7 linked regions of the Coturnix japonica genome follow. The protein of the gene in region 3 interacts with the protein of the main gene of each other region in a biochemical or structural test. Links are inferred from orthologs where the notes say so. Each region holds a gene or a part of one and is shown on either strand. Other genes may lie near its edges.

Region 1 (4,361 bases), on a different chromosome or scaffold from region 3:
CTTGTTTATTTTGGCTGGAGCTAAGGAGTTTCTTCTTGAGCAGCTTTGCTGGTGGGTTAGAGAAGGGCAGCAGCTGTCTGGAGTGGAGAGGTGGCAAAATGTTGAGGGAGTGGCTCCCTTCCCTCCACCGGTATAGCTGGAAGCCTAAAGTCTTACTGTTCACAAGCAGTTCCCTTGGGCAGTAGTGAGAAAGCCCCTCAGGGCTTTCCAGGGAAAATGGAAGAAAAGGAAGGATCCTGTTCTACAAAGTCTTTTCTTCTGCAGGCCGTGTGCTTGGCAATATCCTCTGATCCCTCCAGCTTGGATTATCCCTTACTCCTGCCTCAGTGCTGTTGGCTCCTTTCATCCACCACACTTGAGTGCAGCAGCACACAGAACTGTGCTGTGACCTGCATCAGAGACAATAACTTTGGGTTAATGCTGACCAGTTTGTTTCTTTTTTTGCTGGGTTAGCGTTAACCAGATTCTCAACCTAGGTCATTGCATGAATACATGATCATTTTCTTGGCAAATGAGTTGGGTGTGGGAAGTTGGAGAGTATGATGAGAAAGGAAGTTGGAGAGAGGTGGAAAGGTTTGAGTATGAGGGGATAATCACGTCAGTGGGATGTGACAGTTCAAACTGGTCTTTAAAATGCTACATTACTTTTGTGCTTGCATATACACGCACACAAAACCACACAAAACACATGTACAGAAATAACACAGTATCTATTTATACATACAAATACATAGGCTGGATTGATTTCTTATTCCAGTTCACAGTTACTTTGTGGATAGCTCTGCTAGCACAGTAGAGGTGCGCACAGGCTGGAAGATGCAAGTATCTCAAGCCTGAATTCCCACTGACTTCTTTAATGCTGGTGTCTAACTTGATATAGGGCACTTTACCTCTCTCTAAATCAGATATATGATTTATCTATTCACTTCTATTTTCCTCCATAATATGGGCATAAATATATTGAATAGAATTAATTAATGTTTTTATACTGACTGATATGACCTGTAGTGTCCTAACAAAGTTACTCATGAACATGAACAAATGCACTTAGCTGTAGGGATCTGAAAATACATAGTAGTAGTAGAAGTTAAGATTTCTCCATCTTTCCATTTCCGTGTTGTTTGCAGCACCTGACTGAAAGCATTGTGCTTAGTTTCCTCTTGACGTTAATGATATTTGTGTAAGGAGATACGCTGACTTTCATTGGTCACCCCTTTTGTTTCAGCGGTTTAATAAGAAACTGTGAAATAGATGTTGTGCAATTTCAAGGCAACTGCTCCAGGAAGCAGAAAGGTCGTACAAGGAATGGATTGTAAACAAAGAATTAAAGATATTTAATAAATTATAAAGTAGAAATTTCACAGTGGTGTCTCTGCCACCTGGACTTGAAAGAATTTGTATGGCCAAGACAAGGAAGGAATCAGGCTGCCAGATGAAACTGCTCACGTTATGAGGAACGCTTGCCTGCTGCTGAATAGATTTTGTACTTTTTACTTCATTTGGATTTCTGCTGCATATTGTTCTTTCTTAAAAAACTGTCCAGAACTATGTACGAGTAACCTGGTAAGTTCTGAAAAACTCTACTTAATCTTTTGAAACGCATCTGGTTTTTAGCACTGTAAGAATTTTCAGTTACCTATTAAGTTTTTAATTTTTAATAGTATATTTGAGTAAAAGCAGAGTATGAGAACTAATATTTTACAACTGAACTTGTAAAACCTGGTAAAGAAAATATCCCATTAGCCAGATTGCATGAGTTTTCATTTTATGCTTTTGTTTCAGCAGATCCCAAGATTACTATAAATTCCAAAGACCCTGAAGTGTGGAGGAGAGAAACATTTTTTGTTCAGTTTATTCACTTTACTTAATGGTTTCTGTCTAGTCTGTGATTTTTCTTATGTAACACTAGAAAAACTGTAAACACCCAGTTGCTTCCACAGTTATCCTGAATTTGTTTCATTTTCCTTTTTGAACCTCTTAAATAATAGGTAAATTTTTAAGAAGTTAAGCAAGTGGCTAGGTCCTCTCAGTATTCCTTTGAGTCGAGGGGAATTTAGTACTTTTCCTTCTACTGATGCGCAACAAAGATAAGCAGAAGCTCACAAATCCAAACAATAATTCTACCTCAGGCTCTCAGGAGTCACCTACTTGTTTCTATTTGCTTGAAACACTGATGTGCTTAGAAGACCATGTACCTTTGCTGTATAAAAAGTACATTTTGTGCCTCTGGGCTAATTGGCTGTGTAAACCTACTGCAGGAGGCTATTACCTGCTCCATTTTGTTTCATACATTTGCCTGATGGTTCCTTTAGAATTACTTCTTAACTCTAGCACCAATGAAAGAGTTAATTATTTTCCCTGATGGGAACCTAGCATGCAATGATAACTTTAATGGAGATCCTTTGATTTAAGCTTAAATTAGCTCAGAATAAGAAATGAGTTGCTCTTCCTATCAGCTTTGAAAGACAGGAAAATCGCATTCATGCTCGTGTTCGGTGAATATATTGTGTTAGGGATTCAGATGAGTCTGCCAGCTGTAGATCTTACTTTTCTTCTTTGGTCTACTTGTTGTGTTCACATTTACGTTGTGACAGCTTTGCGTGGGTCTGGGGTTCTACTTACTGTCACGTTACCTGTGTTCCAGTGTGCTGAGAATCTCTACCTGAGGGTTGTTTTGTTAAGAATGATCTTACTTGCTCACAGGACCAAATCTAAGATCTAGCATTCAGCTTTTCAAAGGCTCTTAGATATACTCCCACATCATTTGTACTTCACAACAGGTGACTGGTTTTGCACACTTGGAGTGACATGGAAATATAGGCTTTGGCTTTTCTGGCCAAAGAAGAAGGCTAGTAACCATTTGGCTGCACAAAGACTGTCAAAAAGAGGCCAGACAGAAGCCAATTAGCTTGAATGAAGGTCTTTCTGCTCTCCAGAGGTCAAAGACACTTGCCTTTGTCATTTATGCCCTATTTACTTATGAAGCAGTTGTTACTGACTCAGTGAACCAGAATGAGGGGGTGAGGGCCAAATTCATACCTGAGATAATAAATTTGTGCTATTTGATTCTGCCAAATCTTCTTTTTTTCAGTGCCCTGAAATTGGTCTCAAATGGGAAGCTACCTGTGTGTCAGCAATGCACCTATTCATATGACTAAATCATGAGTCAAAGAAATTTTGTTTTACAAGAAACCAGTGTTTTATTTTAATAAAATAATTGGGGGGGGGGGGGGGGGGGGGGGGGGGGGGGGGGGGGGGGGGGAGGGCAGGGAGAGGGGTAGGAAGAGAGGGGGTGGAAACACATCTTGACTCTGTAAAAATGTATGTATTTTTTCCTCTTGTAGGAAGGAGAACTTGGAATTGCTAACCTTTGTAATGTTAGTGACATCAATGTGGCAGTGAGTAATGGTTTGCTTTATTAATTACTGACAGTTTGCATTACTGCTATTTGAATAACATGGGTACAATGACCATATTGTCAAAGACCAGATGTAAATAATATATGTACCTACAGGGGCAATTATCATTCTTTTTGCTTAAAGAAAACTTGATGTGTAGAGTCTGACTCAGTGGGTTTAGATTTTGTCTACAAAATTCATAATCACACTGATTCATAACCAGTCATTCTTTAGAAAATGGGGGAAAAACAGTGTTATCCCTAGAATATAAATCATTACAAACTTTAGCTTTGTACAGTTCAGTTTTGCTTATTTTGCTTTCTCAGTGGTTTAATGGGAGAAAACCTAAAACAATCGATTGAGATTTAGAGTTAGGTATGAGTTCAAAGGTTTGTACTGATATCAGGAGACTCTTTAGCTTAACATGTACCTTCTGTAGCAGAATTCTTGTAAGCCAGCATTCTTCTACTTCCAACTTCAAACACAAGTCAAGCTGGTAGTTATATATATATATTCTTAGAAGAACTATGGACAATTCAGTCATCAATATTTTCTGCAGAGACTAGTGAGAAGGTGCCTCTCAGCACCTGGTATCTAGCAAGGCTGGATCTTTTATGATACTGGAACCATAAAAGGCTGTGTTGTCATGACAGTACATAGCACAGTTGACTATTTGCTCGTTGTTATCAAGTCTTGCTTTTTTTTTTTTTCATGAGGCTTTGTAGTACATGATGTCAGAGGCTCCTGCTTCTAAAGTCATCCCCTTTCCTCTTCCCTTTAAAAAGAAAAATGCACACAGCTATTAAGAGGTGGATGGGACAGATTAAACAAGACAAGTCCAACGCCAAGTTCAGATAATGCTACATAATGTTACTTCTTCCCTGTGAACAAGTTGCTCTGAGTAGTTTTCCTCTTTAGCACTGGAGTTTTCCTTCTCTTTAAAAATGTGATTTCAAAGTCCTT
Region 2 (3,827 bases), on a different chromosome or scaffold from region 3:
TACCTGTGGGTAGCAGCAAAAGATGCCGTTTGCAATGTCTGGATAGCTGCCCGCCTCTATTCAGCTAGGACAAATAAATGAGAATTCAGTTGATTGCAGAAAACTGCTCTTTCTAGAGAAGTTCTGTACACCTGTATCACTCAGGAAAAAGCATTTCTCCATTTAGAAAGTTCATTTTAAATGCAGGAAGCCCATGGTATCTATCATCAGAAAGAACAAAAGCAAAACCAGTTGGCAAGTTATAGTTATTGAATATATATATTGAATATCAGCCAAGAGGCGACTGAAGGTAAACTGAATACATGCCTTTATAGGTAAGGTATTTTTGCCCATTTCTTTTCAGGTTAGTATGACAGCTGTGGAAATATGGTTACAGATCTGGAGGTGTGTTTTAAATGACCTTTGCAGTAGAAATTAGGAAACTAAAACAGCAACAAAAGAAACTGATGTGGGAGCAGCGTTTTCAGTATTGAAGTTTTTGTTTGCTGACAAATTGTTACTTATGATATATGACTTTTATTTCCAGCTCCGATACCAAAACAAATCCTATGGCTATTCAAAGAGAGAGGATCTTGGTTACTTAAGCACAGCGCTATTGCAACTCAAATCCATAGGGTGATTTAAGAAAAAATAATAATACAGGTGGCTGTGAATGAGTAAGGAGGCAAAGACAGTGACACAGTGCTATTCAGTGCTGTACTTCTGTGTGAAATTGATGTTCTAAGTTAGGGAACATCTGTGTTTTTCCCCTTAAAATAACAGAGCATCAGCTATTCATTTTCCCTTTTGATTTGATAAGAGTGCAAGACACATTCTTTCATTTTTGCATCCATTTGCCTTCCCACTACCTATCCGTCTTAGACCTTTGTCTTGTGCCTCCAATCTATCATGCTCCTTCTTATGCCAATAAAAACGAGGGAAGGCGCTCTTGTCAATTAACACAAAGTGCTGTTCCTCCGTTTGCTGTAGCTCGTTAAATGGCAGACCGGGCACAATTTTACAGGCCCTGGTAATGAAGAAGAGACTCCAATCTAGAACCAGGCCGCAGTACTGAGCTGTAGGAAACTGGGAAGCAATCTGAGTACCTCAACCTCAAATATTAAGTCTCTTTTTCTCTGTCTAGGGGTCACTATCTGGGAACTTATGACCTTTGGTGGAAAGCCATATGATGGGATCCCAACTCGAGAGATCCCAGACCTGCTGGAGAAGGGAGAGCGGTTGCCCCAGCCTCCAATCTGCACTATTGATGTTTATATGGTGATGGTGAAATGTAAGTAGTTGGAGCTTTTCCAGTCTCTGCGTTCAGTGTGAGAGGAATCCTTTTTTAGAATATTTGCATGCGTAGTCTCTGACAATGCCTGGTAATAGAGCAGGCAGTTTCAAAACAAAAGCTTCCCGAGATACTGTAAATTCCATTTAAAATACTGTATGTGCATTTTTTTTGCAATTGCAAGATACGGATTTAGCCCTGAAGGAGTTGAGTTAGCTTCTTATTACTGTCAGATGGTATCTCATATTCTTTCTGTGAAGTCAAAATTGTATCATTGTTATTGTAAACCCTTGTCATTTCCATGACAATTGATTTTGATGTTAGAAAAGATAGTATTAAACATAATTATGGTACATGGATACTCAGCTAGTGAAGTTTGCAAGGAAAAATGCTGGTTCCAGATACTGAGGAAAGAAAGCAAGAATGTTTTATTGTTAGTAAAAGGATTGGTGATTGCAGTAGTAATAATAAAAATTAGAATTAATGTAAGAAATTACACTGAAAGGAGGTTTATCATTCTTAGTCCAGTATAATAATTTATGGATATCTGTAATTGGGCAGAAAAGGAAAACAGCTTGCGCTTGGTTTCTTCCTACCCTTTTTATCTCCAAGATACCAACACTAGTGACTGTATTCTCCAAGGCTGTGTTTCCAATTTAAAAAGAATTAAGGACATCTCTCTGGTGTTTCTGACTTAATTTAAGTGAGATTAACATGTAGCCAGCTCATCTGTCTTCTATGAACCTTCCCCTTTTGCCTTGTACACAAAAACACTGAAAGAAAGAAGGTAACACCAGCAGAGGTAAATACTCCTCTTCTGAGTACAGTTAGACTTGACAGCAGCCAGCAGTTCATGAAGCTCACAGTGCAGACATACTGTGCAATCCAGGGTTTTGCATTTGGAACGTACAGAATTCCATCTTCTCCTTCCCCAGCCATTTGTTGAAGTACTGAGCCCTTTGCTGATTATCTATGGTGGAAAATTTGACCGCATCTAGAGTACAAGTTGGTTTGTTTTTTGATGCATGTTGACATTTAAGACAATAAAGATCCATCCTATTGAGAACTACAGCCAGATAGCTGTGGTAGGGATATAGAGAAGGATTTGCTTTTTAACATCAGCTTTGCATTACTGCTACATACTGATATGAGAACAGCTGACATTTGATTGTCTCATGCGCTACCTAGAGAAGAGTTGTTGGTAGTGGTTAATAGATGAGTTCTCCTTTATACTCTGTTCCTACACTGAAGGCAGTTCTGTGAGTCTTAATAAAGAAGCTAGATATTTAAATCAAGCTTGGTGACTTCAGGGAGGATCCTAACTCACTAGTAGTTTTCTATTATTTATGAATAAATATTGCAGAAGCACATGTACAACCATTAGGAGTCTTCATAAGTTCAGGTAGATTTAGGAAATAGAGGTGAAAGCTGCTCGAACTATCACAGACCTTTTAACATAAATGCATGCAGGTGGGAATATCACCTGAACGGTACGAGGGGTTTAGATCAGTCACATGCAAAAATACTCAAGTTGATAGTATTTCTATGAGTGCTGCAAGGCAATTCTCAGTGAGAGGAAGCAATCCTAGGAGTCTGACTGTTCTGGAAAGTCACATCTAGATGTATGGATTTAGTCCTGTAATGCTTGAGTGGAGTTCTTTGTAAGTTGTATTAGCTTTGTTGGATTTTTTTATTTTTATTTTTTGCTTTGGTCACTTCTTCCATTAAAGGCTATGAAGGAGATAAGTGCTGCTTCGTTCTGCCTCCCTGGCAAATGAGAACAAGCTCTTGGGAAGCTGCTGATAGAATCTTCCATTAGAAAAAGCTGACACTGAGATAAACTAGTTGCTGGTGGTGACTGCCTGTGCCACTTGCTTGTTTTTACAGAAAGCACTGGAAAGGATTGAGAATTGTTTCTAATGAACGTTTCTGGGAGAATGAAGGCCCAAAGAGTTGCCCTTGAACAATTAAAATGGCATCCGATGCCTCATGTGGGGTCTGTGTTAATGATGCAGATACACGAATGCAAAAATTACTCCTGAAAGGTGGGATGGGAGGTCAGTCATCCTGTTGGGCAGCAATTTGTAACGTAAGCTACTGTGGAACAGTAGTTCTGTTAGAGAAAAAAAATGTGCTTAGTAGTAACTTTGTAATAAACCCACTAGGCTGAGGTGAGATCCAGGATTAATTAGAAGTTGGACAGATTCGTAATAAAAAAACAGTCAGAGTTGACAACTAAATGGGTAAGGCAAATCCAGAAATTGGCAGAGCAAAGTGAGAAATCTTTGCAGTGTAGAACATTTGGTCTCCTCTGGCCAGTTAAACGTATTCTCCTTTTAGAGTTCCACCTTTCCCTTCTTCCTGGGCTCCTTATCGTGTTTTTTCTCTAGGCCAAGTACATCGTTTCTCTTCTAAGTTGTTCAGTTTTTAAAAATTCCTGCTTTGTCAGCAGCCACTTATGTTCTTGTTTTTGCTCTGTCCCCAGGCTGGATGATTGATGCAGACAGTCGGCCTAAATTCAAGGAGCTGGCTGCTGAATTTTCTAGAATGGCTCGAG
Region 3 (4,256 bases):
AAACAGTATGAAAAGGCATCCCTCTGTCCCTCCAGAAATACAGGTGGGTTCTGCCCCTTTATGACTTGATGACATTAGGGTACACTGTGCACTGGTGTCCACTAGAGCCTTACACTCCCGTGGTACTAATGTGCCAGGCCGTCAAGTCCACATAGTCCAATAAAATGGATTGTCCCTTTCCTCCAGCTGGCTGGAGGCTGAAATCTTTTTGCATATCTTGCAGCTCACCCAAGGTTAGGGGTCAGATGTTACGCCTCCTTTATGAGTTCTCTCCCGCTGCTCCTCTCATTCTTGTTATGGCTCTGCTTCATCTGCTTCATCTTCACCTCCTTCTGTCTAAGCAGGAGTTTCTCTCCTTGCTAAATAAGCTGGCTGTTTTCTGCAGCCATTTTAAACTCTTGTGTATAGGGATAATTGATGTTGGCACTGGTTGGTTCTGTGAATGAGCTACAGGGCTTGTCACAGGGATTGGAGTGACCACAGGGCCTTTCGTAAGAGTCTGGGGCAACCACAGGGCCCATCAGAAGGGTTAGAGCAACCGCAGGGTCCGTCACAAAGACTGGAGCAATTCTAGGGCCTGTCACAGTGCTTGGAGTAACATCAGGAGTTGGAGCAGTCACAGGGTCTGTCACAGGAGTTGGAGGAGTTGCAGGGACCATTCATTGCACTGTCATCAGATTCGGAGGTATTTTCTCACCCTCAAGTGTGCTGAATAGTACTGACAAAGGCTCAGTAGGCTTTGGCCAGGCCTCAGCACACTGCAGTGACTTGTGTCTCTCTAGAATCCCAACAACCACCAGGATGTGCTGTTGTTCAGGATTCCACAGCTGTTCAGAGGTGAAGTTCCAAGACACCATGGGCCCCTATTGCCCTAGATATCCATACCACCCCACACTCCTTGTCATTCATACATATCCCACCTCAGAACGGAGCTCTTGGTGATATTCTTAAACAGTTAACAGTACTTAAAAGGCACTGAACTGCTGTTAAAAAGGACACTGAGAAACTGGGCCATCAGGACAATGAGGAGCTTGGGTTCACCACAGAAAATGAGAGCTAGGTTTGTTCAGTCTGGAGAAAAGACACTTGCTAAGGAATTTAACAGCAGTCTGAGACTATCTAAAATGGGGACTGGGGGGTTTAGAGATGATGGGAGTCACAACAGAGAGGACTAGAACAAGATCATCTTTAAGATCCCTTCCAACCCAAACCATTCTATGATCCTAAGAACATCATTTTACATATGCCTATATTGAATTTCAGCTCCTGATCAACTGCCTGTTATTCCACTATCATAAAGTCCTCCTGCAATCGTTGAGTCAGCTTCCATCCTATTATCCTGAATAACTTTCTAAAACCAGTTAATTGCCATTTCTAATTCTCAGCACTGCGACAGGCAGTCTTACGGTTCTGCCCAGAAGTACATAGCAGTGAAGGCCATCTGGTCCTAGGGAATGGGCATATGGACCATCACCCTATAACCTGCCAAAGTAGATGCTCTCTAAGGTTGTGTGACCATCTGACCAGGAGGTTCTATTCAGGCTAGTGCAAATTGCATTTCTTTACTCCATACCATTGCAGTCCTCAAAACAGAACACCCATTTATACTGATGGTAAAGACTGCAACAGAACATCCATTTATACTGATGGTAAAGACCGCATGCCCTGCTCTTCCATAAAGGAGAAATAAAACTGTAGCAATCGAAAATAGCTCAGATTCAAAAGGCCAACCCTCTGTCCAAAAACATTTTGAAATGCTGCATCTCCACAGCTTGCAGGATAATGGCAGTGGGTTGGGCATCACAAACTACTCGCTCATTATCCAAGCAAGGAGGAGCAATGGTAACAGCAATAACACCAAAGCTCTAGTCCTCCAGCACCTTGCTTAAGGCATATCTTTCCCATGTGTGCCCAATTCCTACTGCCAGTGTCTTTGTTACACACACACACAAAACTCTGTTTTCTTGCCTTATCTAACACACAGAGCACTCACCCACAGGATGGCATCGGGATCTTGACACGCAGATCCCCACTGCTGGGGTATGAACAGCAGCTGTTGGAGGAAGTACAACACCCCTAAACCAGGGGGTCCTACGGGAGGAAATAAAGCAAGGTTGGAAGCAGCAGGGGTGGACTTGAGCTCCGCTGCCATGGCTGGGTGATCATGGCAGGAAGGAGTGGCTGTTGGGTCTGTCGTGTGTCCCGTGACTCACCCGTGTCTGATCCACGCAGGCAGGATCCTGACTGAGCTCTGTTTGTTTCTGGGCAGAGTAAAGGTGGTAGCTCCAGGCTAGGCAAAAAGCAGGCCCCAGGCAGAGGGCTTGGTTTGCACCATTTGCAAAACACTTCCTGGGTTGTAGTTAATAAATAAGTAAAGGGGTGGGGAAAGGCCAGGCTGGCAGAGGTAGGTAGAAACGGAAGGGATGGACTGCTCTTCCTATTTCCTATCCACTCTGCTCACACCCTCACCGGCTACATTCCTACCTGGTTTGTAACCAAGGTGCAGAAGGCAAAACCCAACACAGCCCTCACAGCTCTAGCTTGTTCTCTCAGCCCGTGGTGGCTGGGAGCCCTTCTTGGCTCTCAATCCTTCCCAAAGATCCCAGTACCTCCATGGGCGACAGGCACACATACCAGAAGGCTAAAATGAGACATTTGTGAATTATTCCCAGTCCTTGCTACACCATGTTGCCACTCTTATAACAATGTCCGACAAGTCTGACCACACATTTAGACAGGAAACCAGAATACAGGCACAGAAGCTCATTGTAGGAGCATATGGGGAAGTGTATGAATTAGCAGCGCTGCCTTAGCTGCATTTAAACACTGGACAACATCTCAGGGACAGTGTTGTTTTGGGGAACATGTTGCCTGATACGTTTCAAACAACACATCTGTAAATACTTGTTCTTGCAAAGACATCTGCCCTGCATCAGGAAGGACCTATACCTGCATAGCAGCACCAGCTTACGTCCATTCATAATTCAACGAGGGCACTTTCAAGACGTCTTTTATTCACAGGCAAAAACAGAAACATGCACAAAGGGGCCAGTTCATCTCACGCCGTTATTTTCCTCGTTTAACTGCTCCGTTTCCCGTGGCCGGCTGAGCAGCAGCACAAACAGCCCCAGCCATAGGGGAAGGCTCAGGACGGAGCCCCGGGGATCACCGGCATCACGAGGCGGCCACCCCGCCGATAGCAGCCCCGTGCGGCGGCAGCGTCATGGGGGGCAGGAACAGAGCCTTCAGCTTGCCCGACATGCTGGCGATCTCCGGGTCCTGCGACTCGTAGGATTTGATCAGCCGGGCGAACTTCAGCACCCCTACGAAGGGAGGGAGGAGGTAGGGAGGGAGGGAATGAAGCCGGAGCCGGGCGGAACGAGCCCTGCCCCGATTCCGCCGGGCCCGCCCACCTTCGCCGTCGCTGCTGAAGCCGTAGGCCTTGATCACGTCCTGCTGGATCTGCGTGGCCACGGGCAGCAGGAACTGCAGCATCTTGCCCATGTCGTTACACGCGTTCTCCCGGGCCTCGTCCATGCGCTGCACGTTCTCAGGCGCCCCGAAGGCCTTGATCACCTCGGCCAGCACCACTGCGGTCACACACATCATCACAACAAGCACAACGGCAGCCAGCACCCACACACAACCCCAGCCCACACACAGCCCCGCTCACCCTTGGCCTGCTCGGCGCTAAGGGCCGGCGGTGCGGCCTGTGCGGAGGCCGCCATGAGGCCTAACGCTGCCCCTCACCACAAGGCACCTCCCACACACCAAGCGCCTCCCTATCATTGCACTGCACTGTGGGGCTTCCCGCGGGGCGGGAAACCTGCTGGACAAATACTAAAAGAGCTGAAATCACTGCCTCAATCCTCTTAGCGCGGGGGGGCACAAGGCACAGAGCTGCCCCTAGGTAAGGGTGAGTGGGCCCCGAGCGCCAGGCCGCCATCCGAGCGGGTCAAGGCTGCTCCACACACATCGCAGCCGCTCCGCGCTACGGGCCGCCGTAGTAACACACTGCAGCCCGGCCGTGCCGCTCTTGGCTTTATGCAGATCAGCGGCTTCTTATTGGTGCGGCTGAGCGCAAGTCCCGCCCACCGCGGGTTTGAGTGACAGGCTGAGTGACGGATAGACGTGGCCGCCGAGCAAGAAATGAACACAACGCAGTCTGCTTCTTGGAAGGGTTTTTTGTTTGCTCGTTCGCTTTTCTTTTGAAGAGCTTCATATATATATTTATATATATAAATTATTAGAATGTG
Region 4 (3,827 bases), on a different chromosome or scaffold from region 3:
GACACTAGGGGACCTGATCAGTTCTTAAGTCCCTGGAGGGATAGCCCTGCTCGGGAGTGGGAGCAAAATGGCCATGGCCAGTGGGCACGAAGGCTACAGATTGCTCTCAGAGCAGCCTTTCCCACTCAACACAAAGGAGGCTTCCTTTCGGGCAGAAATATCCAGGCTCTCTGCCTGAGGACTGCAGCTATCAGAGGACACTGCTGGCTCCCAGCACCTCCAGGCTGGAGGCACAGAGAGGAAAGTCCATCTCCCCACCTCCGACTTGAACACCTCCTGCAGTGCTCACCATTTGGAACCAAAGTGATGTCTTGGAAAGTGGTGCCCAGGGAGTTTTGCACGGTGCACCTCAGGAGCAGGGGTTCATCCACCCTGTGCAGCTGCAGGGTGCTGTTCACACGGAACACCTGCAGCTCTGCATGGTACGTGGCGTTGGTGTGCAGGCCAATCTCCGCAGAGTTGTTCCCCAGCAGCTGGGTGGGCTGCCCCTGGTTGCCACACCTGGACCAGAGGAGGATAAAGGCACCTAAGGTGCAGCCAGACCCACGTAGCACCATGGGATTTCCAACTGCGTGGGCCAGCAGAACACAGTAAAATAAAGTGTCTATTGTTTCTAAAAATGCATGAGCCCTGTCATTCCTATGGGCTCCATCTCTCTGCTCACCATTTGATGTTGCTGCACGTGGACCAACTGATCTCTGGCTGGGGCATCCCTTCAGCAGAGCATGTTACAGTCTGCTCCCCACTGCTGGCACTGCTGTTTTCCTTGAGATTCACCACTTTGGCTGGCACTGAAACCAAGACACATTGGTGGGAATTAATCCTCAGTGTTGAATGCAGATGGGGAAGGAAGGAAGTTCTCCTAGATCCTCACTGTGACACAGGGTTGATGTGACAGTGAAGTAAGACTTAGAGGAAACGTGCCTTATTTTTGAAACTAAAAGCAAAACCAGAAAGGGCTGAGGTGATCATGGAAGACCACAGATGACCCTATCTATTCTGCTTGTATAGCAGAGGAACTACATAAGGACACCTCTGCATCTGCAGATGCATCTGCATCCTTGGGCCAACACTTGAAGGCTGGTATCTGCCCTGCCTCCTTGTTTCCCTGGCTATAAGACCAGGTGTGAGATATTTCAGGCAATCTTTGTCCTCACTTTAATGCTCTTCTTTTGGCCAAAACCCCCCCTGATCTGTAGTCATAGGTGTAAAGGCTTCAGGCTGAGAATCCTGGAGCAAAGGATGGAGCCACCCCCTGGGACTACCCCCACAATCCTTGGCCCCGTGTCTGCATGCACATCCTCACCATTTATCTGCAGATGGAAGGACAGCTCTTGTGCATCGTCCTCATTTGAAGCTCGGATGGTGTAATATCCTCCTTCCTCCTGCTTCACACGCACCAGAACCAGAGATGTCTGGTACCTGGAGAAGACACAGCCATAGAGTGCATGCAGGAAGGTACCATGTAGCTGACACTGCTTGGAAGGGACCAGCTCCCACACAACTGAGGAATGCACAGAATCCACTCACAGGAAGGTCAGCATTCAGCCACCATCCCGTGTCCAACCACCATCCTGTGCCCAACCACTTTGTGTTGTGAATTATTCCCTCCCTGTCCTCTGGTTAGGAGTGATGTGCCCTCACCTGGTTTCTGACAGGTTCCTGTTGGTGATGGTGAACTCGCTGCTGCTCTCCATGGTCAACGTCTTGTTGTTCTTCAGCCACACAATGTTTGGCTGTGGGTAGGCCTCCACATCCACCTGGATGATGTGGCTCTTGTGGACCTCAGCATACACCGTGCTGGCCAGGTGGGTGTGGAAGTGCACAAAGCCACGCTCTGAGAAGAGGCAAGAAGGATACAGGCTTCAGGGAGAGACACAGTCACCTCTCCATCCCTATGAGCTACCATGGGTCTGGGATCAAACACCCTGAAGTGATGGAGCAGCTCCAGGTTCATCCCTTTAGGTCTCAGGTCCATGCCCAAGGGGAGCATGGGGGCGTGCTCAGAGGCCAGATAACATGCAGGGAATGGGCTGTCACCTTTCAGAGATGGGCAGCTTCCCGCAAAGGAGCACAGGTGTAGGTGGGAGGTTGACTTAAGAACACATTGGCACTGCACAGTGCAAAAGAGCTCTCACACAAACCCTCAAATATATTAGAGTCCCAAAATCTCAGATGGGGGAGTTTGGATGTGTCAAAGCCAAGAAGTCGGCAGGGATGCTATGGGGTGAGGGCTGACTTTTTGCCATGGTTAATGAGGGTGGGGTGAGAAGGGGAGGGAGCTGAAGGCTGTGCAGAGAGAGGAGTTTGCCATTCTGGAGCAACACCCATGTGGGTTGCTGCCTTTGAGAGCACGGTCAGTGACGCACCGATCACTTGGACCGTGATGTCTTTCCGGTCTGTTTTCTCATGGTAGCCCTCAGAGACATTGCAGACGTAGGTCCCACTGTCCTCCAGCTCTGCGTTCTGGATGACGAGGATGGAACGGATGTCATGGCTGGATCCTGGCAGGAAGTCGGTCACTGGCTCCACAGCCTTCCCTGCCTGCACAATGGGGACAAGAGATACTGTGTGTGAAGTCAAGAGCATTTCATGCCAATGGAGGACAGAGCCAGGCTCACGGGGAGGGAGGAGAAGTGGGCAGACCTTGGTCTGTCTACAATGGGGACAAGGAACATGCATCAAAAGCCCCTGAGACAGCCAGCCTTCACACAAGAATCTCCCCACTGAGCCTTCTTGAATGGCAGCAACATCTTACATCTGCCATGACATGAAGCTTCCTGAACATTGCTATGATACTGACGAGTGACTGCCATGGGACACATGGGCAAAGGCTGGGGTTGGTGCACTCACCTGCTTGCGGGGATAATCCCAGTTGAAGTTGACCAGCTCATTGCCGCTGACAGTGCACATCAGGGTGACATTTTCTCCCTGACGCACTATGGTCTGCACTGCACTGATGGAGACGTTCACGGATGAGACTGTTAGAAGTGTCAAAGGAAGGGATGATTAATAAAGGAAGAGATGAGCAGACACCCAGTCCATTTATCTTAGGTGGACTTATTCACTTGAAATCTCTTCTATGAGGTATAGATCTGCCACTTTGGCAGGACCTGTTCTTTAACAGAGACAGGGTTAAATCCAGCCCTTAAATTGATCAGGGATATCACAGGGACAGGAGGAAAGCTTTTCTATCCCATCCCTATTGTTTTGAAAGAATGGCCACAACAGCTACAGAAATAAGCCAAGATGAGGGCAGCTCACCCTGGATCCTGTAGACATAGAAGGTGTCTGAATCCACCTCTTGGTCATCCACGATTGCTTGGCAATAGTAGGTCTTGTCCTCAAAGAAGCCTTTGAAGCCCTGTTGTGGGTCATAAACAGCTGGAATGGGATTCTCCACTTTCTTTTCATAAAGGGTCACCTGCAGCTCTGGGTTGGTCACGCGGCATGGGATGGTGGCCTCTGTGTAGCCCGTGATGAAGATGAAGAACTCTTCGGAAGTGATTGCAGGGAGAAAAACTAAGGAGGGATCTATAAGAGAGAGGGGTACACTCATTACACCACGACCTCTCCCACTGCTTGCTCCAGCGTGCCACACGTGGGCCTTTCCACATAGAGACAAGGATGTGCTGTCCCTTACCTGGAACATAGATGTAGAGAGCTTTCCTCTCTGCTCGCTCTGGAGCCTGGTCGGGGCTGTAGAGACACGCATACTCCCCTGTGTGACGGCCTGTCACGTTCCTGAGGGTGAGGTTGCTGACGAAGACCCCGTCCCTGTGCTCCAGCACAGCAGCGAGAGGCTGACCATCCCTCTCCCAGACCAG
Region 5 (4,334 bases), on a different chromosome or scaffold from region 3:
CTTCCTATTATTATCATTATTATTATTGTTATTAATAGCAAAATTTATCGAACTTTTGTTCTCCATCTGCTCTGTGTCCTCCTCCTCCTTTCCTCTACCTGGCTCTGGAGACCATTTTTGGGAAGCAGCCAAACCACCAGTCTTTGTTGGCCATATATTTCAAACAGTCCAGAGTAAGCAGAACAAATACTATTGCTGGTTATCCAGCTTACTTCCTAGTCATTAACTGCTATGAATGCTGTGCACTCTGCATTCCCTTCCCCCTTGCAAAATAGCCCTGTAATAGCCATGTACTGGCTGATGAATAACTGAAAGGTTCTGAACAATGAATTTCTTTAAAGTTATAAAGTAAATATTATTTGGAAAAATTAAATTGTTGCTTAAATCTGCCATTTCTGCAGTGTCAGATTATTTAAGATTAAATGTACATTCACGGTGCCAAAGTAAGGACAGGACGGCATCTCTGCACATTTCTTGCTGTCCTTGTTCCACCCAGTTCTCTCACCCCCTCACCATCTGAACATCAAGAAACTGGCCATGGTTGTGATTTTTTGGATAATGATTACATTTCAGGTTTCTTCACAAATAAGTCTTCCACGGCGCAACTTGGCCTACTGATGTACTTGTCTTCAGGCTTTTTACTTTCCTTAGGCTTTCCTCTGTAATCAGGAAAAGACCCTTCCGTTTTGTTAAAGGAAGTTCAGTAATTCAGGTGTTCTGAATTGTACCTCATTTTATTTTGCTGTATCTCAGGCAGACACCGACAGAAATTGAGAGCCAAATGCTGAAGTGGGGTGTTTTCCTGAGGTCACGGTTCAATTTCTGCTTTTTTATTTAATTCTTTTTTTTCTTGCCAGTGCTGCTTCACATCTCTGCAGGGAAATGAAAGTTCAGCCTGTTCATTTATTCCGGGGTTAAACATTTCTAACTGTGTGTTTTGCCCAGTCCCAGCTACACAAAATAACAACTTGTGTGTGTTTGTGTTTTTGATGTGTGATGGTTGTAGAAGAGGTTTGTCTGTCAGTATTCTAATCTAATCCTAGAGAAGCTGTGGATTGTGAACTGATTTGAATTTACTGCCAACTCCACATTAAAACTGTGCCACAGCAAAGGTGACGGACATAGGTGTGGAGTGATAGGAGAAAAATGAATAACCCTGTACGTTTAGTCTCAGGGTAAAGAGAAACGTTTGCTAAACATCTGCTAAAGTCAAATAGTGAATATAATTTGTATTTTTAAATGGTTAATCGTGAGTTAAAAATATCCATATATGGACAGGAACTGCAGGATAAATGTCCCTGGAACTTCTTGTTTTTTTTGTTTTTTTTTTTTGTTAATACACCTTAAGAAATTAAACAAAGCGAATGCATTTGGTAGCGCCCTCAGGAAAAGTCCAGTCACTTCCTGAGCAGTAATCTGCCTGTGAGCAGCAGATAGATTCTCATTGTTTGCCATTTCCAGTAATGGGAACGATCACTTGACCTGGCCAGTTTCTGCTGAAGATTTGCAAAACCTTACAATTTTTAATGGAAAATTTTGATCTATTACCATAAAGCAAAATAAAGCAAATCTGATTTGGGAATCTGGTGGCGTCACCTCGGATGATGAATATTGCTTTATTTTGGAAATAAGTGTCTGTTCTCCAGGAACGAGATGTATCTTGCTCTTCTGGTGATTTTCTTGCAGTGTAAGTTTGATAACGTTTGTTTGTGGACATGTACCTGTTCTTCTGACTTGTCTGTGGCTTTGTTGTTGTGCTGGTGGTGTTATTTGTTATAGTTGTCTGTTGCTGTTGCTCTATCCATAAACTAAATAGAATATTTCTTTTTACTTCTTTCCAGGTTCAGAAATTTGCGCTCAGGAAAGAGGTAGGTAAATATAGTTTTCTCATGTACATATTTAAATGAGGTAATTTAACTAATTTATTGGTTATACATGTGCACACATGAGAGTTTGTTTGGTTTGCTGCACTACAGCTCTACAAAAGCAAATTAGCTATTGTGGATTTGGGTGGGGGGGTGGGGGGTGGAGGGGTTGTTGCTGTTGTCACTTTATTTTGTTGTTTGTAGTCAAAATATTGTATTCAGTATATTTTTTTCACAAACTGACAAGTTTAAATTCTAAATTAAATGGAGGCATTACTTCTGCCTGTGATTGTATTGAGATTACTTAATGAGTGTGATGTTAAGGACAGCCCACAGCGTCAAGATGGGCACATACGTGTTTGCTTGCATGCCCTGAAGCCAGATATATTCTACTATACTCCAGTTTTCCTAAACTAGGGGTTTAGGATTATCCCGAGTCAATGAAGTATGTGTTTAAATGGAAGCTGTTGAACAGCACAACCTTAATTTCAGAAAAAATACTGGAATAGATCCAGGGGCTCCAGTTATATGCTTAGGGATGGATTGACTTTGGATTTCATACGACTCTAAACAGGCTTACATTGTATTATTTCATTTACTCAAACAAGGATAGATGCACAATTTTGTTCAGATCTCCTAGCAATTGTAATTGGAGACAACAAGCCATCAGAAATAAGGAAAGCCAAGAAATTGCTGCAAGCCTATCCCAATACCCTCAGTGTCTCTTAAGGAATTTAGCAGTTCTGGCCAAATTGGATTAATTTTACTGGTTAAAATGTAGTAGCTTGAGGTGACAGTGCTATGTTGGATGATTTGAAAATAACTGTAACTCTTTTTATTTTCTCCATCAAGTTTTTACCTTCAATGCAGTTCATATCAAGGTTCAGCCATCTGCCAAAGTGAAGAATGGAGCTCCTATGTCAGTTATATGCCGTGCTGATATTAGCAAAAGTACCAATTTCAACTTGCAGCATAATATTACAATTTTTAAGGATGGCAAACTTGTGTTCATGAGTGTATCAGGAAAAGGAGATGCACGATATGAAGTACCCATGGCCAGATCTTCACATACAGGAGACTACCAATGTGCTGTGGAAGCAGATGGAAAGATAAGATACAGTGATTCCCTACATGTTTGGGTAACAGGTGAATATTCCTTCAAACATGGCAGTTTTCTAAGGTACAAAATGATAACAACCTCTGAGAGTAAATAGTTATAGTGCTAAATAGGATATCTTGCAAAGTACTTTTAATCTGTAGCTGTCATGGTGCTTTACAAGAGTTTCATGCTCAGTCTTCATGTAAAGGCACAGAAATGAAATGATAATATTGTGATAACCATCACCAAATCTGGAGTCACATGGGGGCTATTTTTTGGACAATGTTACATCCATCTTGTTTCTTTATCTTCTATGCAAACAGGCGCCACCAATGTTCACAGGAGTGCAGCATAAAAAAAATCCCAAACCTAGTTCTTTCCAACAATTTTTTTCTTCCTGCTGCCATAAATTGCTACCACAGTCATCAAAGACAAGAGTTTGATTTAGGATGATGCATTGATCTGTTTCTTGCTTTGTTTTCTGCTCGAAGGAATGACCAAACCAATTTTGATCGCTGAGAAAAAAGAAGTTTTTGAGGGCGAAGTCGTGAAATTACGGTGTGAGCTGCCAGAAGAAGTGCCTCCATTACATTTCATTTTCCGGAAGATAAAGATGAATTCAACACCTAAAGAAAAACTGAAATATGAACTACAGAGGAATTTTTCTGTTATAGAATTTCCCGTTGATGAAGGGGATAATATTTTACAATTTGACTGTTTGGGTAGGAGGAGTGTAAAGTTTGAATTTGAAACCTCAGAACCCAGCAACAGAACACTTATAACAGTCAAGGGTAAGCTTCTTAGTTTTTTAAATACTTTTGCTTGCCACAATTAATAAGTTGGATTGTGATTTTATGTATATATATTCTCTTGCAGAACCGTTTATAAAGCCAACTCTGCGCATCAAGCCCTCAAGTAACATTACAGAAGGAAAAGAAATACAATTTGAATGCTCTACTGTAGTAGCCAAAATGCGTGACATTGAAATCATACTTCTGAGGAATAAAACAATACTGAGCAGTGTACGAGATCAGACAACTTTGAAATATTCTACAGTGGCTACTCTAGAGGACAGCGGTGAATACCTCTGTAAGGTGGAAGAAGGGAAAGCATCTAAAACCACCACACGGAATGTTGTTGTGGCAGGTAACTCCTCTGTTCATCTTAGATGTTGCTCAGTGGAACAATATTTAATTTTGGTAGACTTGCAAAGGTAATGTCCAGATTCAAAAGAGAATTTTCCCTAATTGAAAGGCTGTTTACATTTGGGCTACCGATTTTTACCTGTTGCTAATAATTTCAATTAACACAAAGGAGATGTGGGTTCCAGGTTATTGCTGCCTTTCTGTTTTCCTTGAAAAATACTTTTG
Region 6 (4,499 bases), on a different chromosome or scaffold from region 3:
CCACGGATTTACAAGGCTGAATTTACATCCAGTACCTTAGTCCTACTTTTTTGTAAAAGCTTTTAGCACTTCTGAGTTTACCTCTACTGAGAATCAGCTCTAAAAGATTCCTAGCATCATCTCCTTGCATTTTGGAAGGTAGGTAGAAAAGTTGCTGGACATATTCAGGACACTTAGCACTCCATACTTCTTTTGAGGAACAATGTTCCAGAGCAAACTGGGACAAAGCAAGAGGAAAGGCAGGGTAGTCCTCTCTGTTCAAATTAATACATACCACCATCAGCTAGTTACAAACCAAGTGATAGTGAAACCACACAAAATAATACTCTATTACATTTCTGCATTCTGGCTATTTAAGAATATTTCCTACATTTGAAGTTGTTCTGTTACCTGGTACAGAGAGGTGGCAGATACCTACGAGAACTTATAAGATGAAAACTGAAGCTCAATTGGTCTCAAAATATTTTTCCCTTTCTTTCCTTTCAACAAACTCATTTAAAGCAGTGGTCACTTAGTCATTGTGCACACAGAGACAGGAAATTCTGAACTAATTTTGGTTTTGGAATGTAAAGATAAAGCAACACAAAACTGTTTCCCTACAATAAAATGGTATTTTCTCCAAATTAGAAGTTAAGATGATCCTGCAAATGCTTGCAGTGTGATAAGTTTTCACTCTTATGACTGAACTACATTTCTCATGTTCACAAGATTATCTTGAGCTTTTAAAGAGAACACTGTGCTCAGACTGAAGTCGTGCACAGTCTTAGTGGCACAAGTATGTTCACCCCGATGCAGAAGATCACACAAGTACACCTCATCTTTAAATGCAAAATAAACAATTTTAAATAGCTGACTGGAATGATCTTTCTGTAATTGTTACTCACATGCAAAGATACACACTGAATTCCTTATAATTACAATACAAAATCATACATGTTCCCCTTTTCGGCCATTTTATCCTGGAGCTAAACATGTAACTGGTGTGCACAAAACAGGTATTGAACCACTGATCGAAGAGTCCATAAAGCTGAAAAATGGACATCACCATCTAGTACCTTTCTGCCATAAATACAGACACAAACACAATTGCTGACAGTCACAGTATTCTCACTAGGAATGTCAGCCAATTTACTGTGGGCTTTGTAGGGTTTTTTTGTTTGTTTGGTTGGTTTTTAGGGTTTTTTTTTTTTGTTTTTTTTTTTTTTGTTTTTTGTTTTTTGCTAAATATTGAGTAATGAAAAAGCATAAAGAAAGTAAAATGAATCAAAACTGATTATAAAAAAACAAACTTTGATTGCAATCCCATGAACTCTGAACACAACATATATTTCAGTAGTGACTTCTGCTCCTCATGTCTCTGTCATAACATACACACACACCCACACACAAAGATAAAAGTGTATGGTAACATGTCTATGTTATATTTTTTGTTATTAGGGTGCTTAAATCCAGCTTCTGGTTTTACCATCAGTGCTCTAAAATGCAGTTTAGTTTCCAGCGTAACCTGCTAGCTCCTACTAAAATTGAACTTCTGGTTTTGTCTTCCTGCAACTTCAGATCTAATTCTGCTCTTCTTTCAAAATGGACAAGTAGCACTGTTCACTGCTGATCTTATGGACTTAATACTTTCTAAAGGCAGAAAACCAAGAACACTTCAACAGTTTATCATGGGGTTTTGCAGTTATTTCATGTACATTTGAAATCTGAAGCAATTACTTACATTTTGGGGCACATTCGGTGATTCCAAACCTTTTAGTTCAAAGTCTTTGCCAAACTATAACATTTCTCCCCCACAGGAAAACTGTCAGAAATAAAGAGCATTCAAACTTCCTTATTTGTCTCTATCACTGAATGTTCAACAGAGGGATGAAAAAACAACACAGTTCCTCTAACTGGGCTGCCTCAACGTGTTCTGCTCTGCTTCAGCTCATGGCCTCTGAGCCTGTAGTAGCACCGAGCTTAAAAGACTGATAGTCACTTGAACCAGACAGCTGTGCCTGTGGATTAAGCTGCAGATTCAGCCCAAAGAATTGAGAATTCTAAATGTCTTTGGATAAAAAGAATATAAAAGAAGCCCAACTGAAAAGAACATCAAAAGAAGTTACAAGGAGTTCATTCCCTTAGATGGAATTGTTTTGTTTTGAAATGGAATTACTCTGTAATATTCCATGCATTCTGGCCAAATTGTGTCTCAATCACCTCTGGTGGGGTCGGCGTCACCCAACAAAAGCAGCATCCATCTCTTCCCAGGGTGGCATTACTACACCCACACCCAATGAACTCCAGCACAAACTGCACATAGTACAGAGCTACAGAAGAAAATACTGCCCAATACTGAAATGATCAGCAGCAAGTCAACCATTGCACCCTTAGTACCAACATTCAGCACTTCTAGCAATGCTCTGTGATTATTCTGACAGAAACAAAATCCAGATTTTTTATAAGAAAGAAGCTCTTTTTAAAGCCATTTTCCCAGGTGCCAAATCTTTTATATACTATGCACCATTCAGAAGCTGAACAGTTACTTTAGTGTAAATTTTACGCTGTTAAAAACTACTCCGCAACACATTCAAAACATGACTAAATCTATATATTTTCTGTATTTAAGTTCCATATTCTAGTTCCTCAAATGCCAGGCTACCGATGTTACTACAGAAGGACGGAACGTTCCAGCTTGCCTCAGCAGATTGGCACATTTACTCGCCGCTCTCCGGGTAAACCCCGGAGAAAAAAGGCGGCTGGCAGACCCCGGCCCACCCCGCTCGTTGTTGCCAGCATCCCCCCGGCCCGGCGTGGCCTCCACTCACCGCTACGGCGGCTCCTCCGCTCGCCGCCTACTGCCGCCCACCGGCTCCTCCTGGGAGCGAGCCGAGCGGCGCGGCTCAGCCGAGAGCTGTGCCCGAGTTATGCGTTGCGAGAGCCGCCGCTTCCTCGTTTTCTCTCTCAGCCGAGGCCACTTCCTCAACGAACTGTCGGCCCCCTGCTCCCTCCCTCGGGCGATTCCGGCCCCCGGCCTGTCAGAACGTTTGTCCATGAGGGTGTGCGGTGTGCGACCCGCGGCGCCCCGACGTGCGTGTTGTGGTGCCCGATGGTGTGAGGTGAACGTGGGAAAGCAGAGGGACGCAAGAGTGGTCGTCTCTTGGGAGAAAATGAATAGACCCGCTGATTGTCAGCATTGAAATGTAATGTATTTTGGTACTTTTGTGTTTTGGTGAGAAAATTGCTTCTGGAGGAGCAAAAACGGTTTGTATTTGAAACAACATAGGATCTTTGTGCTGCATATGGTATTTACTCATTTTGTAGCCGCTGCTAGTATGGAAGAGACAACACCTGGTGTGGAAGAGAGCTGAAGAGGACCCCGTCCCTAAGGCTCCATGTACGAGGGAGTCAATTCCACTACAGATGTCTGCACATGCAACAGACGGCAACAAGCTTCTCCAGGATGCGCTGCCACTGGCATTGAATGGCACCTCAGGTGCACCTGCAGCCATGCTTCTCCTTCAGGCATGGCCACTGCATGGTGGTGTTGTGTGCCATGATGAGCAGCACTAACGTGAGGCGAGGTCTGTTTCCTGCTCCCTTGTATTAAGTGATTGCTGCAGTGAGTGGGCCTGCTTATTGTATAAGAAAGAGGTGCTGCAAGGAAGCACTGGCTCTCCTTCCACATCCATTATACTAAACAGAGCTGCCAAAGGGCAAAAGCCTCATGTTTCATACCGGTTGAAAAGGGCCTTTCTTTTGGTCTGATTGCCAAAGTGCAGATACATTTCTGAATTGGCACTACCTGTGTGTTAAGAAAACTTGATTCTTGGAGGGCCTTTGATGGCATAAGTCTTTCCTAACACCATCCAAAGGCACAGTCTACAGGAAATGGCTTTTGGAAAGTCATTACTGTGCTATGAACAAGATTTTAAGCAGAAGTTTCTTCTTAAATTGGTGAAAAAAAAAAAAAATGTTTCATGACTTTTAATTATATGTGAGCAAGAGTACTTGACCTGGTAAGGGTAGAGTTAACTTTCCGCAGCAGCTGATATGGTGCCTATCTGGGATTTTGAGTAATAGCGTATGAGTAATGCATTTTCTTTGCTGCTGGGCACTGCTGCTCAGTGGTGAGGTTTCCTGTGTTTTGCACTCTGCCCCAGTCCTCGCCAAGTAAGCAAGTAATGGACAAGATGGAAGGGGACACTGATGGAACCAGCTCTGTACCACAGCAAGAATCAGCGTGGGGATAGATGGAAAAGGGCAGGGGCTAGTGCTGTTTTCCTGCTCACAGACCAGCTGAGTATCACTCATCTTATGGAGGTGAGCAGATGGTTGAGAGAACTGGAAGGTGCAAAGCAAGAAAACGTGCATTGAGATAGGAACAAGTGAGGGAAGGGGGAAGATCGTATCAATGTAGCCACTCACCTCATGGAGGAGATGATAGGATCTTCCCCCTTCTCATGTTCCTATCTTAATGCATATTTTCTTGCTTTGCCCCTTCCAGCTCCCTCCACCAT
Region 7 (3,827 bases), on a different chromosome or scaffold from region 3:
CTCCTGAAATAGCATCCGCTTTTCTCATGCAAAGTAATACAAATGTAAGATGATTATTTAAAGCACTGCTCTAGTGCCTGACGTCTACCACACCCCAAATTTCTAAGGCTTGCTGAGCTTAACATTGATATTGAAATTTGATCCAAAAATACAGGTTCTTCTCCATGTGAAGAAGTCCAACATCCAGCTGCATAGTTACAAGCCATTCCTTTTTCTTTATGCTACAGTGTAGCTTTGCAGTAAGAAGAGAAATTAAGTATTCTTACCACATAGTAAACGATAAATCCAAATCATAACATTTCATTTAATGGTGGTAAAATGGGAGGAAAGCAGCTAAGAAAGTGACTGCCAGGTTTCAAGGAGTATTTTTAAAACTACTTCTGTGGTTCTTTTAAACAGCATTCTGAGTAAACTAAGTCAAGATATAAACCGAAATGAAGGAAGGATCTCTTTCTTCTCAAAATGGTAAGTGAAAAACTCTGATTTCTTTTCAAAAGTTATCAGTCAAATCTTTCCTGGACTGTTATTGGTTTGATCCACAACACCTGTGTGTCAGAGGGATCACCTGCGAAGTATATAAAATAAAACTGTGTTGTTAATGCTGTCTGTTAAAAATAGGAGTGTTTGAGCTCATGAACAACCTGGATCCCTCTGTCATGTCTGAAACCAATAAAGATACAAATTTCATGCAATTTTCTAACTGAGTAAATTACTCTTTCAGAATGCTATAAAATATGGACACATTATATTAATGAGTCAAAATTAATGGAATTTACAGACCTGTACATCATTACACTTCAAAATGCATCACAATTTACTGACAAATATATTATATGTTAAGTTCTATTCCAAGGACTGATGTTCCCGATAGATTTACTCACTGAGTTTCACTTAGTTTCATACACACCACCTCACTGACTTGGCCTTGTATTCAGGACAGTTGAGCTGACATTTGGTGACTGTATGTGAAATATAAAGTAGTGTGTTTATGGTATTTTGTGTGAAGTTGAACTAATTAAAACAAATTTCATTTTACTTTACAATCTAAACGTTAGCTTTGTTAGCAATTCAGTGTACTAGGTTTAGTGCATTACATTTTAGTGCACATAAAACGTTTAAAAATTGCAATTGGAAGGAATTTATTTGTTTATATCTTTGTTACAGGGGCCAAACACAAAAGTGTCCTGAAAACTCAGGTAAGTGCGTACTGACAGTCTCTAAGCACAAATAGTGTGTAAAAACATTAAACCAGTAGGTTCTTCTTTGTAGAGTACGATAAGCGAGACAAGGCAAAGCAAAAAAAAGCATAAAAGAAAAATTGAAGAAATAGCAAAAAGTTGCACACTTCAGCAACAATTGTACTAATGAGAGAATGCTCCCCCAGGTCTACTGACATTAAAATGACTTTAGATTTAATTGCCATAGCAATTTTTAAGAGATACAAAGGCTGTGCTTATTCTGAGAGCATTCTACTTCAAATGATTTTTAAAGCATGAAGAACAGGACAAACTAGATGAGACACTGTATAATCTCACATAAGGAAAGTTTTACTCTTAGTTTCAAACAATAATGTTATTTGTAGAACCTTGCATGAGCTACTTGCGGATGCCAGTCTGCCTGCCTTTGACAGGCCTACATTGTTGCTGCTATAGTAGGAACTGTGGCATTGTGGTTCAGAATGAATTTGGGATGGTTTTTTGTCCTTTTATTTCAAATAATGTCTTGACATTTTCAAATTTTACTGTGCTTAAACTTCTTTATGCAGGATACGGTCAAGAAGATGATGGCTGGTCTTCATTTGTAAGTATGAGGACTAACATAACATACTGGTCCAACAGTAGACTGACTCAACTTTTCTGTAATCTCTATTATTTCTTGCATTACCTACTTTAGACAGTATGGATGGATCAGTCAGTAGCACGGGGTGTTAGGCTAAGGAAAAAGAGAAGCCTGAATGATTGGAGTAGCTGCATGCAAATTTCACTGAGGAATGGGCTTTTGCCCAGTAATACGAGGCAGTGCTTTGCAACAGCAGATTTGTACCACTGATTCAAGTACAAGCTCACAAATTATGACTAGCTAAAGTTTATATTCCTATTTCAAGCTCTTGAAAGCAATCGTTAGAAAATGGAAGGTTACTGTGTTATTCAAGGGCAAAATCCTGCTATTTTGTTCTCTATAAAGTTTACTTTTTGAAAAATCCAATCAATTTCTCAAAGCCAGACAGACTGCAAAGGATGCTTTCTGTCTTTCAGCATACTAAATGCACTGGTAAACTTCATTAGACGAAGCAAACAACCCCAATGTCTAAGAATACTTCTTCTGTAAGTCAAGGCAGACAGCACAGAAGATGTGTGCAATGACCGCTACCATGCTTACACTGCAATCTTGTTAGGGCCCAATAAGATACTAGTGGTATATGTCTGGTTTTGTTCTGGTCAGAGTATCCAGACCTGTATCACAAACCTCTTTTATTTTTTTTTTCAGAATTGTTTCTAAAGTCCGAATTCAGTCTGTAGAATACTGCAAAAAAGTAACCTGTTATAGCACTCATCTTTTATATATGTTGGTCAGGATGATCAGGATGAAGATGACGACTATGAAAGCCCTGATGATGACCAGGAAAAGGAAGACGAGGCTGACTATGAATCACCAACGGAAGAAACTGAGGAAGCAGAACATGACAGTGATGGCTATGAGCCACCTCCATCCAGTAATGATGAAGCACACCACAATGTCATATTTCCTGCCAAGTCACTTGCGAACAGCACAGACTATATAGGTAATTACTAGAAAAAAATAAAAAAAGTAATGTTTTCACATTATCATTTACATTTACGTGGCTGCTAACGGGATATAGAAGGCTTTATCTCAAAGCAGCACAGATGCTGCAAGTTCATATCTTTATACCTTTTAAAGCTAAATCTTCTACTTCAGACAAGCTCTGTTGGATTAAAGATAAGTTTCATGTGATGTGTGCACAATCTGGCTCTTGGTTTGGAGCCTGCATAAAGTTTAAGAAAAATTTACATACTATTTTAGCTTTAGCAGTTGTTCCTTGATCAGAATGAGTTACCAGGCAGGTACAGTCCCACCATCAAGGGGACAGATGAGCATCTAGCTCCCAAAGGAACACTAAATCATACACTATCATAAAGCAACAGCCCATTAAACACTAACATAATATCTGTATGATACATCAGATCAAGTATGCAACATCTCTTCATAAAGATCTAATGAGAATAAAATAACAAAACCGTTTTCATAGTTGTTGAGCTTGGGATTTTTCTTTTCTTTAGACAGGCCTCCAACAGCCAGATCATCACATCAGCCTCCACTACCACCCCAGCGGCCTGGCCCAAGCCCATCACCAGCCTCATTTGGGGGAAGAGGTGCTTCTGTATGTTTCTCTCTTGATATTTCAGAGCAAATGAAATACTTCACCTATTTACTTTGACAGTACCTAGGAGGAATCCAAGTGTAATAAATAAATTGTTATTCAATTATTATGTGTAGAGGAATAAGAAAGTTTTTAAGGTGTCAAAATAGTTGAACTCTTATAGAGTGTGGGTTTTTTTCCATGGAACAATACAATTTGATGGGTCAGATATTAAACTCTTTCACAGTCTTTGTTTCTTATAAGTTCTCATTAGTTGTGTCCTAGATTGCTGCACTATTTGTTGACCCAGCTCTCACAATAAGAACAGTCCTTCAGAACATCCCTATAAAATATTCCCTATGAGACAGATGGTTCTATATGAGACAAAGAACCACACGTCGGTCATTCTTCAGGAGGGTTAATGACTCCTACCCATCTTATAGTGGGA

The links.
Region 1: of the proteins of PTPN6 (region 3) and ROS1, one has a biochemical effect on the other in vitro, tested with the Homo sapiens proteins (2 studies listed by BioGRID and IntAct). The link is inferred for Coturnix japonica from reciprocal best matches to the Homo sapiens genes PTPN6 and ROS1.
Region 2: the proteins of PTPN6 (region 3) and ERBB4 form a complex in vitro, tested with the Homo sapiens proteins (2 studies listed by BioGRID, with this or other methods). The link is inferred for Coturnix japonica from reciprocal best matches to the Homo sapiens genes PTPN6 and ERBB4.
Region 4: the proteins of PTPN6 (region 3) and PDGFRB form a complex in vitro, tested with the Homo sapiens proteins (2 studies listed by BioGRID and IntAct, with this or other methods). The link is inferred for Coturnix japonica from reciprocal best matches to the Homo sapiens genes PTPN6 and PDGFRB.
Region 5: the proteins of PTPN6 (region 3) and PECAM1 form a complex in vitro, tested with the Homo sapiens proteins (2 studies listed by BioGRID, with this or other methods). The link is inferred for Coturnix japonica from reciprocal best matches to the Homo sapiens genes PTPN6 and PECAM1.
Region 6: of the proteins of PTPN6 (region 3) and SYK, one has a biochemical effect on the other in vitro, tested with the Homo sapiens proteins (2 studies listed by BioGRID). The link is inferred for Coturnix japonica from reciprocal best matches to the Homo sapiens genes PTPN6 and SYK.
Region 7: the proteins of PTPN6 (region 3) and LCP2 form a complex in vitro, tested with the Homo sapiens proteins (2 studies listed by BioGRID). The link is inferred for Coturnix japonica from reciprocal best matches to the Homo sapiens genes PTPN6 and LCP2.

The regions. Positions count from the first base shown.
Region 1 is NC_029518.1:57,715,445-57,719,805, forward strand, and holds the start of ROS1 (proto-oncogene tyrosine-protein kinase ROS), read left to right. Parts: upstream 1-1,260; 5' UTR 1,261-1,449; coding exon 1,450-1,563; intron 1,564-3,344; coding exon 3,345-3,398; intron 3,399-4,361. UniProt on the Homo sapiens protein: Receptor tyrosine kinase (RTK) that plays a role in epithelial cell differentiation and regionalization of the proximal epididymal epithelium. NELL2 is an endogenous ligand for ROS1.
Region 2 is NC_029522.1:7,052,915-7,056,741, reverse strand, and holds part of ERBB4 (receptor tyrosine-protein kinase erbB-4), read left to right. Parts: intron 1-1,123; coding exon 1,124-1,270; intron 1,271-3,755; coding exon 3,756-3,827. UniProt on the Homo sapiens protein: Tyrosine-protein kinase that plays an essential role as cell surface receptor for neuregulins and EGF family members and regulates development of the heart, the central nervous system and the mammary gland, gene transcription, cell proliferation, differentiation, migration and apoptosis.
Region 3 is NC_029516.1:69,598,348-69,602,603, reverse strand, and holds the start of PTPN6 (tyrosine-protein phosphatase non-receptor type 6), read right to left. Parts: upstream 2,877-4,256; 5' UTR 2,214-2,876; intron 2,092-2,213; 5' UTR 2,008-2,091; coding exon 1,994-2,007; intron 1-1,993. Other genes in the region: C1H12orf57 (protein C10), read right to left, coding at 3,175-3,323, 3,414-3,590, 3,674-3,728. UniProt on the Homo sapiens protein: Tyrosine phosphatase enzyme that plays important roles in controlling immune signaling pathways and fundamental physiological processes such as hematopoiesis.
Region 4 is NC_029528.1:4,811,925-4,815,751, forward strand, and holds part of PDGFRB (platelet-derived growth factor receptor beta), read right to left. Parts: coding exon 3,644-3,827; intron 3,535-3,643; coding exon 3,265-3,534; intron 2,982-3,264; coding exon 2,854-2,981; intron 2,545-2,853; coding exon 2,370-2,544; intron 1,838-2,369; coding exon 1,645-1,837; intron 1,423-1,644; coding exon 1,307-1,422; intron 792-1,306; coding exon 665-791; intron 502-664; coding exon 290-501; intron 1-289. UniProt on the Homo sapiens protein: Tyrosine-protein kinase that acts as a cell-surface receptor for homodimeric PDGFB and PDGFD and for heterodimers formed by PDGFA and PDGFB, and plays an essential role in the regulation of embryonic development, cell proliferation, survival, differentiation, chemotaxis and migration.
Region 5 is NC_029533.1:7,271,707-7,276,040, forward strand, and holds the start of PECAM1 (platelet endothelial cell adhesion molecule), read left to right. Parts: upstream 1-1,369; 5' UTR 1,370-1,653; coding exon 1,654-1,687; intron 1,688-1,841; coding exon 1,842-1,868; intron 1,869-2,717; coding exon 2,718-3,011; intron 3,012-3,455; coding exon 3,456-3,755; intron 3,756-3,840; coding exon 3,841-4,110; intron 4,111-4,334. UniProt on the Homo sapiens protein: Cell adhesion molecule which is required for leukocyte transendothelial migration (TEM) under most inflammatory conditions.
Region 6 is NC_029547.1:39,246,788-39,251,286, reverse strand, and holds the start of SYK (tyrosine-protein kinase SYK), read right to left. Parts: upstream 3,102-4,499; 5' UTR 2,808-3,101; intron 2,765-2,807; exon of another isoform or gene 1,721-2,764; intron 1-1,720. UniProt on the Homo sapiens protein: Non-receptor tyrosine kinase which mediates signal transduction downstream of a variety of transmembrane receptors including classical immunoreceptors like the B-cell receptor (BCR).
Region 7 is NC_029528.1:13,164,789-13,168,615, reverse strand, and holds part of LCP2 (lymphocyte cytosolic protein 2), read left to right. Parts: intron 1-399; coding exon 400-465; intron 466-1,164; coding exon 1,165-1,196; intron 1,197-1,765; coding exon 1,766-1,800; intron 1,801-2,574; coding exon 2,575-2,782; intron 2,783-3,299; coding exon 3,300-3,400; intron 3,401-3,827. UniProt on the Homo sapiens protein: Adapter protein primarily involved in signaling pathways within T-cells, as well as other immune cells such as platelets, mast cells, and natural killer (NK) cells.